Oryctolagus cuniculus: one gene and its partner. Each later gene encodes a partner of the first gene's protein in a complex. Links are inferred from orthologs where the notes say so. Each region holds a gene or a part of one and is shown on either strand. Other genes may lie near its edges.

What was found. Proteins that work in one complex are often made in the same cells at the same time.
Region 2: EXOSC6 (region 1) and EXOSC1 share a complex: the UniProt entries of both Homo sapiens proteins name them as parts of the RNA exosome core complex. The link is inferred for Oryctolagus cuniculus from reciprocal best matches to the Homo sapiens genes EXOSC6 and EXOSC1.

Annotation. Positions count from the first base shown.
Region 1 is NC_091449.1:56,938,404-56,945,772, reverse strand, and holds EXOSC6 (exosome complex component MTR3), read right to left. Parts: upstream 4,581-7,369; 5' UTR 4,507-4,580; coding exon 3,691-4,506; 3' UTR 3,410-3,690; downstream 1-3,409. Other genes in the region: AARS1 (alanine--tRNA ligase, cytoplasmic), read right to left, coding at 6,183-6,368, 6,772-6,885, 7,226-7,312. UniProt on the Homo sapiens protein: Non-catalytic component of the RNA exosome complex which has 3'->5' exoribonuclease activity and participates in a multitude of cellular RNA processing and degradation events.
Region 2 is NC_091446.1:32,401,498-32,409,103, reverse strand, and holds the end of EXOSC1 (exosome complex component CSL4), read right to left. Parts: intron 5,792-7,606; coding exon 5,703-5,791; intron 4,255-5,702; coding exon 4,221-4,254; intron 3,198-4,220; coding exon 3,147-3,197; intron 3,019-3,146; coding exon 2,934-3,018; intron 2,457-2,933; coding exon 2,350-2,456; 3' UTR 2,021-2,349; downstream 1-2,020. UniProt on the Homo sapiens protein: Non-catalytic component of the RNA exosome complex which has 3'->5' exoribonuclease activity and participates in a multitude of cellular RNA processing and degradation events.

The DNA of each region.
Region 1 (7,369 bases):
TGCTTCCTCCAGACGCGTCACCTCGCACTCCCTCCCGGCCACAGCGTCCTCCGGGATCCCGGCCCCACCTTGGCAGGAGGCGGCCCCACCTTGGCAGGAGGCGGCGCAGGCCCTCCCCAGCCCTGAGACCCGCAGGCTCGCTCTGCTGTCTCCTCCGACCAGCATCTGCAGCAGCTTCCCGGCCGCGGCTGGGGACCCTCCGTGGGCAGGCCCCGAGCTGGGGAGTGGGCCACAGTCCCCTAAAGCCGTCCCAGCGCTTCACCACCCTTGGTGCAGCCCCTCCCCAGCCCCAGCGGGGAGCTCAGACCAGACACCCAGTCCCCCTGCTCAGATCTCCGTCCCCACCCCCACCCCGGGAAGGGGGGACACGGGGCTACCGTGTCCCCTGCAGTGAGAAAGGGGCGTGGCTGGAGTGTGAACCTGGGACCTAAGGCGGGGGGGGGGGGGGGGGGGCGTGTGGTCCTACTCCCCAGAGCCTACAGCGGCGGGAAGGTGGCTGGCCCCGGCCCGAGCCTGCCTGCCTACTGGCCCTTCATCCGGCTGTTCCCACGCAAGGATTAAAGGTTCCCACACTCCCACTGTGGCTTTAGGATCTGACTCAACGCTGCCCTTCATCCCTTGCCAGGCCAAGATCAGCAGTGGAGCCGTCTAGGGGAGGCTGTGCCTGGCTGGCCAGGAGCCAGCGTCGTCACCTTCCTGCCCTCTGCAGCCACCCCTTATCAGAGGCCAACCAGGGGGAGGCCTTGGGCAAGATCCGAAGGGGGCTCTTCCGGTCAGGAGTGCAGCGTTCTTAGGGACAGCTGCATGCGTGTTTCCCCCAAGTCCAAGGCCAGCGAGTCTGGCCCGGGACAGTGGCCCCTTCTCATTCACTTCCACAGCAGCTGCGGTCACTGCGACCTGAACTACAAGCTGCACGGAGAAGACGTCCCCTACAGGTGGGTGGGTCCCACCTGGCAGCCCTCTGGGCGAGCCGCATTCCCTCTGCCCTGTCCTCGCAGGGTGTACGAAAACCAGAGGATCCCCCTGCTCATCAACCATGTGCCCGTCAGGATCCGGAGGACCCATGCAGGCATGGGGGTCAAGGGCAGCTTTGGCCCCCACAAAGCCTCCAGGAATGGCCCGCTGCCCCCAAGGCGGATACAGCGTGAGTGAGGGGGCAGTGGGGAGAAGCTGGGCGGGCGCACACGTGGTGAGGACAGGCCAGGGAGCTCTGGCAGCACTGCCCTCAGCCTCTGTGCCGGGCGGCCACCCACCCTGGCCCCTCTCCCTGCAGCCCAAACTGGGGAGCTGCACTCCATCAGGGAGGAGCTGAGCCAGATCAAGGCCCAGGTGGACAGCCTGCTGCAGAGTCTGGAGCGCATGGACCCGCAGAGGCACCAGTCTGCAGGTCAGACCCCGCTGTAAGCCCAGCCCACGCCCAGTTCCTGAAGATAGGGGGTGGGGGTGGGGGGTGCCTGGAGCCCTGCCTCCGGTTTTCCAGGCTCTCCTTGGGTGGTCCTCTCCCCATTCGCTCTGGCTCTTCCTGTGGCTCCAGGGCTGTCCCATCACCCCCACCCTCTCAGCAACTTTCTGGAGGCAGAACACTGCCCAGGCCATGCGCCTCAGGACCTAATCAGAGCTGGGCATCAGGTGGCTCCCTGGACCAGCTGGGACCTCTACTGACGGGTGCCTCCCTTTGCACAGGGACGACGGACAGTGAAGAGACCAGGGGTCCAGGCAGTGAGAGCGCCTGGTGCCGAGGCACTGAAAACCAGTGGGAGCCCAGGGGCGAGGCCCGGTGCGCAGAGGGACAGTGCCAAGGCAGGCACCAGCACAGAGCAGGCAGTAAGTGGCCTGGCTCCTCCTCCCCATCTCCACTTGCTGGGGTCCCCGTGTCTCCCTGTGTGCACGATCAGACTGAGGCCTGTACAGGAGCGTGGGGTGGGGGTGGGGATTAGGACTGTGACCTCAGAGGCAACACCCTGCTGTTTATCCCAGCTCTGCCCTTGGGTCTGCTGAGAGAGCAGGCCACATGGAGAATGCTCTTTTTCCTGGTTGGTCTGGATGCCCAGAGACTCAGGGAGTCTAGCTCCTGACACGATGGGCTGGGTACTGTGTTGGCAGCCAGTCCTGCTTGTTTTTTCCCACAGGTGAAGAATCACACATCAGACCAGGAGGGCAGTGAGTAGGTGGGAATCCTCCCTGGCCTGCCAGCGCCAGGCACCTTCTTGTATTGTTTTGAAGGCCTCCTAGTGGCACCCATTTTGGAGCTGGGGCAGTGCAAACGGAGGCACAGGGCTCGGCCAGACCAGCGGGAGAGCCCCTCCCTGGGGGGAGGGGGTTTCCAGATGGTGGTCCTAGGGCTGGCGGGGCTGGGAGACAGGCTGCCTGAGACCATCCTGGTTTGCAGGGGCACCTGAAGCACCCCCTCCCCACACACCACCAGGGCTGCCGGGTGTGCAGCATCAGGCTGCAGTCGTCCCCCAACAGCTGCTCCAGGCACAGTGGTGCACAGGAAACACACCTGTGTTCCCACAGTCTCCCCTCCCCGCCCAGTTGTAAAGTCCTGGGTCTCTGCCCTACATGGGCCCCTTTTGCTTCCGACTGTCCTTTCCAACAGGGACATCCTTTCTCTGTCCTGTCCATTCCTATCTTGTCTTTCACTGGTGTGACACTGTGTGTTTGCAGATCTGCTGTCAGAACAGAAAAAAATAAAAATTGCATTTCTTCTGCCAAAGGACTGTGGTGTGGCCCCAGAACTTCACCCTGGTCTTTGGGCTTCCCCCAGGCCAGCCCTTCAAGACAAGTTTAGCAGGTCATCCAGAGCTGGGTGCCCGGCCCTCCCCACTGTGGTCTCCGCTGGCTCCCTCGATTCTGTTAAGCCCAAGCCAGCAGGGTTCAAGGAAGACTCCCCTCCTGCCATACAGCGTAGCCATGCTCCTCTGCTTTCCCAGAAGCCAGTTCACCCGCCCTCTCCCCAGGGGCTCAGGCTGGACAACGGGCAGATGAAGGCAGCCCAGGGGCCCACTCAGCGGCAGTGCAGGCCTTTGACTGGACTGCTGTGGCCCTGGCCACGGAAGGCTGGGATCCGGCTTCCACCCCCAGCAAAACCCTTTCCAGCTCTCGGGAACCCTGCGCTGGGGCCTCTCGCGGCACAGCCATGAGCTCCGGGACCCCCGAGTGCTCCCGGGCCGTCCAACTCTCCTCCCGGCGCAGCAGCCGCCCTCACGGGCACCGGAGGCGGCGGCGTGTCTTCCTGCCAAGCACACGGCCCACTTCTAAACCCGCAGCTGCTTCAGGATTCTGGCCCGTCTGGTCGGCTCACCGGTCCAAGGGACACGACACAGGCGGGGCAGTGCTGTCCTGAGCCTCACCGCCAGGGAGCCTTGCTCTCTCTGAAAATCCTGTACTAAGAACCACGACACGCGTATTTCGAATACAAAAAAAAACGGTTTTGTTGTTTCAGTCCCGCTGTGAGAAGGCGCAGCGCCCTGTCCATCGTCTCCGGAGTCACACAGATCCCGCGCTCCGGACCAGGCCGGCTCAAGTCCTTCCCAGCTCGGGAGTAAGCAAGCAGCCCGCGGCTTCCTGCGCTGGCTTCTGGCTGGGGACTGGAAAGATCGTCAAACGTTCGTCTGTCGACAGCCGTTCCAACGCAACTGTCCATCTCCGCACGCTCTGTCCGCTCGCGGCTCCACTTCGCCCGCCGGCTCAGGGCAGGGCGGCGCCCCTGCGGCGGGCGGCCCGCACCAGGCACTGCTGCAGCACCGGGTAGAGTCGCTGGCAGCCCTCGAGGCCCAGCCGCACGGCTTCGGCCCAAGTCTCGGTCGCGTCGCCCTCCCCGCTGCCCAGCAGCCCGGCCACCTGGTTGAGCACCGGCATGAGGGCCACGGTGAGGCCGGCGGCGGCGCGCTCCTCCTCCAGCCGCGTCGGGTCCAGCAGCCAGGCGGGCGTGGGCCCCTGCGCGCGGCTCAGGCCGCAGCCCACCACCAGGTCGTACATCTCGACGCCCGCGTCGGCCAGGGCGAGGGCGGCGGCCGTGAGGGCGGCGGCCAGCGCCGAGCCGCCGTCCTCCAGCAGCAGCGCCGACACCTCGAGCTGCGCGCGCGGGTAGCGGCTCAGGCGCACGGCCGGCTCCAGCGCCTCCTGCAACGCCAGGGCCAGCTCGCGCTCCTCGCCGCCGCCCGGAGGCGCCCGGCGCCGGCGGCCCGAGAAAGGCGCACGGCGGAAATCGCAGACCAGGCGGCCGCGCAGCGCGGCCGGGGCCTCGCCGCCGGCGCCGGCAGGGCCGCTCCCTCGCTCGCTGCCCTCGACCTGGCGTGGGCCCGACACGGCGCACAGCACCTTGGTGCCTCCCGCCTCCAGGTAGGCCGAGCCCTTGGCCTGGCTCAGCAGCCCGGCGCGCGCGTACACCGGCCGCAGCCGCGTCGGGTCTCGGGCGGCGGGCTCCTCTTCCTCGTCGGCGGCGTACAGCTGCGGCGGCTGCGACTCGTCTGGTCCGCGGATGCGGCGGTGGTCCCCGGGCATGGCGGCACCTGGCGAGCACACCGCTTCCGCCCGTCGTCCTACCGCGCGCTCCGGCTCTTCCGCCCGCTTGAAGACGCGCGCTCGCGCGGGGGCTGTCGGGAGAGCCGCAGGCAGTCGCGGCTGCACTGCCCCCTGGCGCCGTGGAGGGAGAACGGCTGCGGCGCCAAGGCTTTGAAGCCGCAGCAAGGTTGCCCAGGGCTGGACGGGCCGGTTGACTGTCTCCCAGGCCAGGTCCTACCCGAGCGCTTAGTCTTCTCACTTATGCAGGCTGTAGTTATCTTAGTTTTGCACTAATCTGTGGGACTATTTTATATGTCCCCACCGGGGAGTTGGCCTTGCTCACTCCCAAGCCCCTGGCTGGCACGAAGGCCTATATGATGGATGGAATCTCTCTCCAGCACTGGCTTTATGTAAGTCTCTTTGTATCATTAACACGGACATCAACACCCCCTTTCTGCCTCCCCTTCCCACCCTGAGAACCGCCCCTCACCCCAGCATGCACCTGCTTTTCCTTCTCCCTCCACTGTCAGCAGCACCGTGACCTGGGCTCTGGGGCCAGCCGCTGTATCCAGAGGACAGGACATCCGTTGGGGCTGGCACAGGCAAGCAGTACCTTCACCTTCCAAACTCTGCCATTTTAGACTTGGGGAAACTGGACTCAGAGACCGGCCAGTGTCTTTGGGTCAAGTGGGAGTGATGGGCAGACACTAGAGTAGGAGGCAATAGCTGCACCTTAAACATCTTCTGTACCAGAGACTGCCCTCCAGCCTCATACCCTGACCCCACATGAAGAGCTTCAGAGGGAGGGGAGGGACATGAGCCAGAGCCGCCGCCTGCAGGGCTGGCATCCGATGTGAGCACCAGTTTGAGACCAGCTGCTCCAATCCAGCTCTCTGCTATGGCCTGGGAAAGCAGTGGAAGATGGCCCAAGTGCTTGGGCCCCTGCACACGCGTGGGAGACCTGGAGGAAGCTCCTGGCTTCGGATCAGCACAGCTCCGGCCACTGCAGCCCTTTGGGTAGTGAACCAGTGGATGGAAGACCTCTCTCTCTCTGCTTTTCTGTAACTCTGCCCTTCAAATCAATCAATCTTTAAAAGAAAAAAACAATGGAGGTTCTCCAGGCGCACCTTTGCTTTGTAACCCCTCGGACCACTGAATTATTAGAGCCTCTCTCTCCATCTCACCCCCGTCTCCACAAACACTGAGTTCAAGGGTTTAGGGCTGGACTGAGCTGGAGTCAGCATGTTTTACACACCCTCGGGTAGCCAAGAGCTGTCAGCAGGGGTGCATGCTGGGAGGTAATGACCAGAAGGCATCAATGAGTATTGCACATGGTCCTTTATTCTCTGCAGCACAAGTGCCCACCTGCAGACCCAGAAGCCTCGGGTCAGCAAAGAACTGCATTTCTGGATGTGAACTTGACACAGGTAGACAGCGATCCTGGGCCAGTGGTTCTAGACGGGCAGTGCCAACGTGCAGGCCTCCGGGCAGAAATATCAAGGGGGACCGAGGCACAGGACAGCTCCCAGGGGTGTCCAGTTACTGCTGGGTTAGGAGGACGGATGGCTGTTTGCAGGTCCCAGCATTCAGGAGTCTTTGTGGCAGACGGAGATCTCTGGGCTGGACTGATGCAAACGGGTGACGGGGAGATGGCTCCCAGGGAAGCTGCCCCTGCTCTAGTTCTTCACATCTCCCAGGCGCAGCTGGGCAAAGGAAGTGGCCAGCTGCAGTGCCTCCTGTAGGCAGCCCACATTCTTGCCCGTGGCCTGGGCAGACATGTCCTTGCCACCACCTTTGCCATCCATCAGGCCCGACACCTGCTGCACCCACTCACTGGCCTTTAGGCCCCTGTTGGCTGCATTCTGGAACACAGGAAGGCGAAGTGGGAGTCAGGACAGAGGATGGGATCGCAGGATGAATGGAGAGAAAGGAAAAGGATGGGAGCCACAGACACCCACGCCTGCCCCAGGTGACAATGCTGGAGGCTGAGAAACGCCACAGCTGGTACAGGAGGCAGTCAGTGGCCACCGTTAGCATGAGTCCAAGCCAGCGGCAAGGCTGGGCAACAGCCATTACAGTTAAACACATTCACCAGCGAGACAGGAAGGGTGGGGTCCCGGTGAAGGTGACCAGCAGGTGGGCAGGAGGCCCACTACTTCTAACCGGGCTGCACCCACATCCGTGGGCATCGGCAAACAACCCGAGGAACCCAGCTCCCTCTGAAAACCCCAGGCGGCATCTCCCACTGGCTGCGGTGGCTCTCACCTGGGGGACCTGACATAAGCACGTGATCTTGCCAGCCTCGTTGTCCACCGTGAAGAGCATGGCAGACGTCTGAGGGGAATGCGTCTTGAAAAGCTTCAGGGCTTCATTCAGGGCCTGTGGGAGGACCGGGGTCAGGCCACAGCCCTGCTCGCCACAGAGCAGCCTGCAAAGCGCAGCCCTCGGAGTGTCCCATCCCTCCCAGGAGGGGGCCCTGCCACACTCTGGCTCGGGGATTTGTTTCCCGCCTCCAGGGAGCTGCTCCTCCCTCCAGCCAGGAGCCAGAGCCCCCCAGCCGGCCGCTCGCTCCAGGGTTCAGCTGAACCTCAACCCCGGACAGGGGCCCTCAGGAGCCCACTCGGCTCGGAGCCACTAAGCCCACCCGTCAGCCACCCCTGGGCTGATGAGACCCGCAGGGAAGGGAACACGTGATGGTGAGGGTCAGCCCCTGGGTTGCCTTGGCCGAGGCGCCGCTCTCCATCTCCAGGATGACGAGGGGTTGGTTGGGGTTGCTGTCGATAAGCTGCTTTGTCTTCTCCAACACCTGCAAGAGGTAAGTCCGGAAGTCAGGCTCCGGCCAAAGGCCCAGACCCCAACACCC
Region 2 (7,606 bases), on another chromosome or scaffold:
GGAAAACTGGGCAAAGTGTAAGAGGGATCACTCAGTATTATTATTATTATTATTTTTTTTTTTTTTTTTAATTTTTTACAGGCAGAGTGGACAGTGAGAGAGAGAGACAGAGAGAGAAAGGTCTTCCTTTGCCGTTGGTTCACCCTCCAATGGCCGCCGCTGCAGCCGGCGCACAGCGCTGATCCGATGGCAGGAGCCAGGATCCAGGTGCTTTTCCTGGTCTCCCATGGGGTGCAGGGCCCAAGCACTTGGGCCATCCTCCACTGCACTCCCTGGCCATAGCAGAGAGCTGGCCTGGAAGAGGGGCAACCGGGACAGAATCCGGCGCCCCGACCGGGACCAGAACCCGGTGTGCCGGCGCTGCAAGGTGGAGGATTAGCCTATTGAGCCACGGCGCCGGCCTATTATTATTATTTTTGACAGGCAGAGTGGACAGTGAGAGAGACAGAGAGAAAGGTCTTCCTTTTGCCGTTGGTTCACCCTCCAATGGCCGCAGTAGCCGGCGTGCTGAGGCCAGCGCAGCGTGCTGTTCCGAAGGCAGGAGCCAGGTGCTTCTCCTGGTCTCCCATGGGGTGCAGGGCCCAAGCACTTGGGCCATCCTCCACTGCACTCCTGGGCCACAGCAGAGAGCTGGCCTGGAAAAGGGGCAACCGGGACAGAATCTGGCGCCCCGACCACGACTAGAAACTGGTGTGCCGGCGCCGCAGGCAGAGGATTAGCCTAGTGAGCTGCGGCGCCAGCCAGTATTATTATTATAGATTTATTTATTTGAAAGGCAGAGGTATCTTCCACCTGCTGGTTCACCACCAAAATGGCCTTAATAGCTGAGGCTGGACCGTGCTGAAGCCAGGAGCCCAAGACTCCATCCTGGTCTCCCTTGTGGGTGGCAGGGGTCCAAGTACTTGGGCCAGCTCTGCTGCCTTCCCAGGTGCATTAGCAAGGAGCTGGATTGAAGCGGAGCAATTGCGACTCGCTGGTGCTCATATAGGGATATGGGGATGTTGCAGCCGTACATCCTGTGATGTTCACACAACTATGAGCAAATTGTTTATATCTCTTTAAGACTTTTCCTTCATCTGAATGGTATGATCATGAGGAAGAAATGCATAAAAGTACCCAGGACATGTTACTGTTTTTGTTATATTTATTGTCTGATTGCCTTTTTTCAGGTGTCTACTAAATGCCAGGCTTTGTGCCGCTTTGATGTAGCTGTTTCATCAGTTCCCTAATGATAGGATAAACAAATTCCATCACAGGCGGCGGCTTAACCCACTGCACCATGACACCGGTCCTGCTGTATTTAAAATTGCACGTGGATCTATCATTATCACAATCAAATTTTCAATTAAACAAATGACCCAGCCTCAGCTGCCTGTGGCTAGCAACTAGGGGATGTGAGGACACACCCAGCAGGCTGACTCCAAAGCTTGCCCTCAGCCTTTGGGGGGTGAACACTGAAAACGCGGCCCGAGGGATGTCCCCAGCAGCGCCACTTGAGGCCCGCCCTTCCCCTCCGCGCTGCAACCCCTCCATCCTTGACTCCATCCCTTCCTCACTCGAGCTGGGCCCTGCATTTCGGCTTCTGCATTTTGCTAGGGCTGCTGTCTGCCTCGAATATCTTCACTTTACTCCAAATTCTGTCATTCCTTTCCCGGCCACCTCACGTGAAAGCTCTGTCCGTCTTTTCAATTCCGATGGGTCACCCAGTCCTGGAGTACCCAGTACATCAGAAACCCTATTTTCACCAAATACTCTGCAGACCTATTCACGTGCTACCTGGATGAGCCCATCCGTGCTACAGTTTTCACTGTGCCGTAATGTACTGAAGTGAGGGGTGTACCTAGAGCCTGGAGCAGTTAGCAGAAGCATTTAAAACAGAACTCAAAACAATGCAAAAGAGGCTGGTGCTCAGGCTTCGTCTAAGCAAATGACACCCGTCGATCAGTGGGCGCCATCGGCAAAGCCTTGCTCTAAACGTTATGACACATTCAGGGGTTTTTCCCAGCTCAAGACAACAGCAGCCTGTAATAAAATCCTTTTAGTAAAAAATGTTTTCTTGATCACAGCAAAATATACACATTTATAAAGATACACTGTCGGGAGGAACAGGCTATTTCCCACAGGCCACAGCTCGCAGTTTACTGAGCCCCCGGAGGAGGAATGTCATCACTCGAGGGAGGGAAATCCACTCACAGGAAGGCTTCATCTGCACAATGAGTTTCCTGGTCGAGTCTTCTCGGGCAGTGCTGGCTGACCCTGGCCTTTGACGACAGACAATGCATCCGGGTGCTGTTTTCATACCTATGCTCTCAGAAACAGCTGAGCCCTCCGGGGGGTCACCATGGCCTCCTAGGTCTGCAAGAATTCAGGCTGCACGCGGGCCACTTTCCGGAACTCCTTAGTGTGGGTCTTAGGGCACTGCATCTCACACCAGCTGATGGGAACCATCTGGACACCTGGAAGGGAAAAGCTGGGTTTGCAGCTGGGACCTCAGATGTTTGCTTGAAGCCCTTTTCTTTCAGATGGGTACGAAGCTGAAGTATTACCAGGCTACCAGCAAACCTCCCCTCATACGGGAAAACCGTGTTTATCTCATGATTTATGAAGTGAGTCCCACCTCCTTAGGGCTAGCAGAATCTCATCTCTGCAGTAAGCACAGCCACGCATCACCTGATGGGGGCATGCGATTTCATAGTTGTGTGAACATCACAGGATGTACGGCTGCAACATCACTAGGTGATAATCTCATGCGACCACCAGCCCAGATGCAGTCTGTCACTGACCAAAATGCTGTTATGCAGTGCATCATGGTACCTACACTTATATTGCTTCCCAAACAATGACAAACTAGGGAAAGTCAGAAAATTAATGCATTGATCCCAAACCATACCAGCCAAGGAAGAATCAGAATGTAGAAGTGTAGACCAACTCACCTGACTCACTATGGGCCACCACCACTCCCAGCTCATTTTCAGCTGTGGTCAGCAGGTAGTTGGACTGGGCGTCACCTAGAGAGATCTAGTCACACAACAGCGGTGAAGGAAAATGAGAGGTTACAAGTCTTCCCCCCTTAGCCACTTGGGTTGTTTCTCTAGTTCCATGTCTTCTTCACGAAGAACCAGAAGTCTGCTGGGAATAAAGGATACCACTTTGGCCAAGACAATGTCCCCTGGACGGAAACTCTTGTATATTTCAACCTGTGAAGAAAGCATAGTGGTGTTAAGTGAAGCTCTGGATCAGAGCCACACAGAATCCTTAGCCCCTCTGGGAGAGCTTGTCGCCTATCTAACCCCAGCGGGGAGAAGGCATCATAGCCTGTCAGTCAACATCATACAAATCAGATTTTGAATTCAGTAATCCAATCAGGAATCAGACTACTGAATTTACTATAAAAAGGTACTATAGGGGCTGGCTTTGAGGTGCAGTGAGTTAAGCCACCACCTGCAACACATATCTGTATCCCATTTGAGCGCCAATTAGAGTCCCTGCTGCTCCACTTCTAGTTCAGGTCCCGCTAATGTGCCTGGGAGAACAGCAGAGGATGGCTCAAGTATGTGGGCCCCTGCCACCCACATGGGAGACCTGGAGTTTCTGGCTTCTGGCTTCAGCTTGGGGAGTGAACCAGGGATGGAAGACAGCTCTCTATGTAGCTGTCTTTCAAGTAAATATTTATCTTACAAAAAAAAAAAAAAAAAAAAAAAAAAAGGGCGGGGCAAGCACTGTGGCGCAGCACGTTAACGCCCTGGCCTGAAGCGCTGGCATCCCATGTGGGCGCTGGTTCAAGACCCAGCTGCTCCATTTCCGATCCAGCTCTCTGCTGTGGGCTGGGAAAGCAGTAGAGGATGGCCCAACTACTTGGGCCCCTGTACCCGCGTGGGAGACCTGGAAGAGGCTCCTGGCTCTGGATCAGCGCAGCTCCAGCCACTGCAGCCATCTCAGGAGTGAACCAGTGGATGGAAGATCTTTCTCTGTCTCTAACTCTCTCTGTAACTCTTTCAAATAAATAAAATAAATCTTTAGAAAAAGAAAAGATATAAGAGGTACTGCAGTTGGTTCTGAAAGATCCAGGACTACATCTGAGGGGACAGCAATGAATAAATACTTGGCTTTAAGGGCAAACCTAGCCCCACTCAGGTCAGATGAATTAACATAAATGTGAGTAATTGTAAAGGATTTCAATTGCTTCATTCATGGAAGAGAAAAACGAACCAACCAACAACCTTGTCTTTTTCAGTGGCTCGAACATCTTCCTTCCTACAAAAAAAAAAAGTTCACCAAAGGTTAATTATCTTCGAGAAAAACTGTCCTGAAGGTTCCTAGCAGGTGAAGGACTCTCAGAGCAGACGGAACAAGTCTTGACGGGAGCCAGCTGCCACCCAGAACGAGGGGGGGAGGCATCTTCGCCCACGGGAGAAAGCACTTGCCCATTGTCAGGCCATGCAGAGCAGCAGGAGCAACACCTCTGAGTACAGAAAGAGATCAGAGGCGGCAGGAAAAGATAAGGAACTTTGCTGCTTCAAGAGAACTGGAATGAAATGCCACAGAACCACACCAGACCCTGCAAAATCGAATTATCTGAGGTGGGTGTTTGGTGCAGTGGTAAAGCCGCCACTTGGGATTGTCCATGTCCTATCCTGCACTGCCCGGGTTAAGAGTCCCCACTCCGCTCTCCATTCCAGCTTCCTGCTAATGTGCACCCTGGGAGGCGCAGGTGATGGCTCAAGTAGTTGGGTCCTTGCTTCCTATGTGGGACAATGGATTGAACTCCTGACTCTCGGCTGCTGCAGGCACTGGGGGAGTGAAACAGAGGATGGGAGATCGCTCTGTCCCTGTGTTTCAAATAGATGAAGCGAATAAATTTAAAAAACCCTGTTATCTGGCCTGTAATAATTGTTTGTCTTTTCTATAAGGAATCCATTGGAAAAAATATACCACCTCACAAACAAATCCTTTCATTATCTTATAACCTTTGGGATTACTCAATACTAAGTTCAAGAAAAAAAGTACTGGGGCCGGCGCTGTGGTGCCATGGGTTAACACCCTGGCCTGAAGCACCGCTGTCCCAAATGGGCACCAGTTCAAGACCCAACAGCTCCACTTTCGATCCAGCTCTCTATTAGGGCCTGGGAAAGCAGCAGAAGATGGCCCAGGTCTTTGGGCCCCTGTACCCACGTAGGAGACCGGGAGGAGGATCCTGGCTCCTGGCTTTGGATCGGCACAGCTCCGGCCGTTGCGGCCAACTGTGGAGTGAACCATCGGATGGAGGACCTCTCTGTCTCTCTCTCTGTCTCTCCTCTCTGTGTAACTCTGACTTGAAAATGAATAAATAAATCTTAAAAAAAAAAAAAAATAAAGAAAAATACTTCTTTAAATGCTTTGTACTTTATTTGGTTCAAATCAGCCTAACGTTGTCAATCTTCAGCTCTGCTTAATCTTTTTAAAATCCTTTTTAGTATCTTCCTTTCATCCTAGCTCATATAACATGTTCTTTGGATATTAATGGGGAGAATCAAAGTACAAAGAAGATAGAAAGATGGCATGAGCAGGTATTGTAAGTGTTCCTAAAAATTCCAGTTGTCCTGTCTATCCTAATCTCATTCCAGGTGTTGAGGCAAGTATCACAACAAGGATACTTCTTCTTACAGATTTATTTATGTACTTGAAAGGCAGCGTGTGTGGGGGAGGACAAGGATACTTCTTACCGGATAGTTCCTCGAAAAGAGTTCTTAAGAGGTGTGGATCCCACGTAGAGGATGTGTACTTTGGCAAAACGTGAATTGATGCTGGAGACCTGTGGAATTCAGAGAGGATCAGCACCGGAGTATTCACAATTGTCAGCTCAAGGAGGCAGCAATGAACAAGGCTTTACTAGGACTTCAGCCCAAGATTCTAGTAAACATACAATTGAAGACAAGCTAGCTTCTACTTATCTCTGCCTAAGTGAGATTTGTGGATTAAGAACAACTCTGGCCACCTGACAGGGTGACTATGGGAACCAAATGACATGTTATACAGATATATTTTCTTATATATTTATTTGAGAGAGAGAGTTAGAGGAAGACACAGACAGAAAGGTCGCCATCTGTTGGTTCACTCCCCAACTGGCCACAATGGCCGGAGCTGTGCCAATCTGAAGTTAGGAGCAAGGAGCTTCTTCCGTGTCTCCTACACAGGTGCTGAGGCCCAAGCACTTGGGCCATCTTCCACTGGCCATCTTCCACTGCTTTCCCAGGCCACAGTAGGGAACTGGATCAGAAGTGGAGCAGCTGGCATATGAAAACTAGCACCTTACAGAGAGGGCGAGAGAGAGGGAGAGAGGGAGGGAGAGGGAGGGGGAGGGAGGGGGAGGGAGGGAGAGGGAGGGGGAGGGAGGGGGAGGGAGGGAGAGGGAGAGATCTTCCATCTGCTGTTTCACTCCCCAGATGGCTGTAACAGCCGGAGTTGAGCCAATCCGAAGCCAGGAACTTCTTCCGGGTCTCCCTTGCGGGTGCAGGGGCCCAAAAACTTGGGCCATCTTCTTCTTCTTCTTCTTTTTTTTTTTTACAGGCAGAGTGGACAGTGAGTGAGAGAGAGAGAAAGGTCTTCCTTTTTGCCGTTGGTTCATCCTCCAATGGCCTCCACGGGCGGTGTGCTGCGGCTGGCACACCTTGCTGATCCGAAGGCAGGAGCCAGGTACTTCTCCTGGTCTCCCATGGGGTGCAGGGACCCAAGCACCTGGGCCATCCTCCACTGCACTCCCGGGACTTGGGCCATCTTCTACAGCTTGCCCAGGCCATAGCAGAGAGCTGGATTGGAAGTGGAGCAGCTGGGTCATGAACCCTTGCCCATATGGGATGCTGGCATTGCAGGCAGTTGGCTCTATCCGCTATGCCACAGTGCTGGCCTCATTATTTTTAAAATTTATTTTTTATTTATTTCAAAGGCAGAGTTATAGAGAGAAGAGGAGAGACAGAGACAGAGAGAGAGAGAGGCAGGCTTGTTCATCTGCTGGTTCACTCCCCAAATGGCTGCAATGGTGGGGGCTAGTTCAGGCCGAAGCCAGGAGTCACTTTTTCTTCTGGGTCTCCCACATGGGTACAGGGGCCCAAGCACTTGGGCCGTCTTCCACTGCTTTCCCAGGCACATTAGCAGGGAAATGGATCAGAAGTGGAGCAGCTGGGACAGGAACCAGACCCTATATGGGATGCTAGTGTCACAGGCAGAGGCTTAACCTACTACGCTACAATGCTGGCCTGTTAGATTTTTAAAAGTCACAGTCCAACATAAATAGACACAGGGCATGGCAGCAAATCTAGACCTTTAGAAATCTTACTAAGAGGTATGTATAGCAAATGGCCGGCGCCGTGGCTCAATAGGCTAATCCTCCACCTTGCGGCGCCGGCACACCGGGTTCTAGTCCCGGTTGCCCCTCTTCCAGGCCAGCTCTCTGCTATGGCCAGGGAGTGCAGTGGAGGATGGCCCAGGTGCTTGGGCCCTGCACCCCATGGGAGACCAGGAAAAGCACCTGGATCCTGGCTCCTGCCATCGGATCAGCGCGGTGCGCCGGCTGCAGCGGCAGCCATTGGAGGGTGAACCAACGGCAAAGGAAGACCTTTCTCTCTCTCTC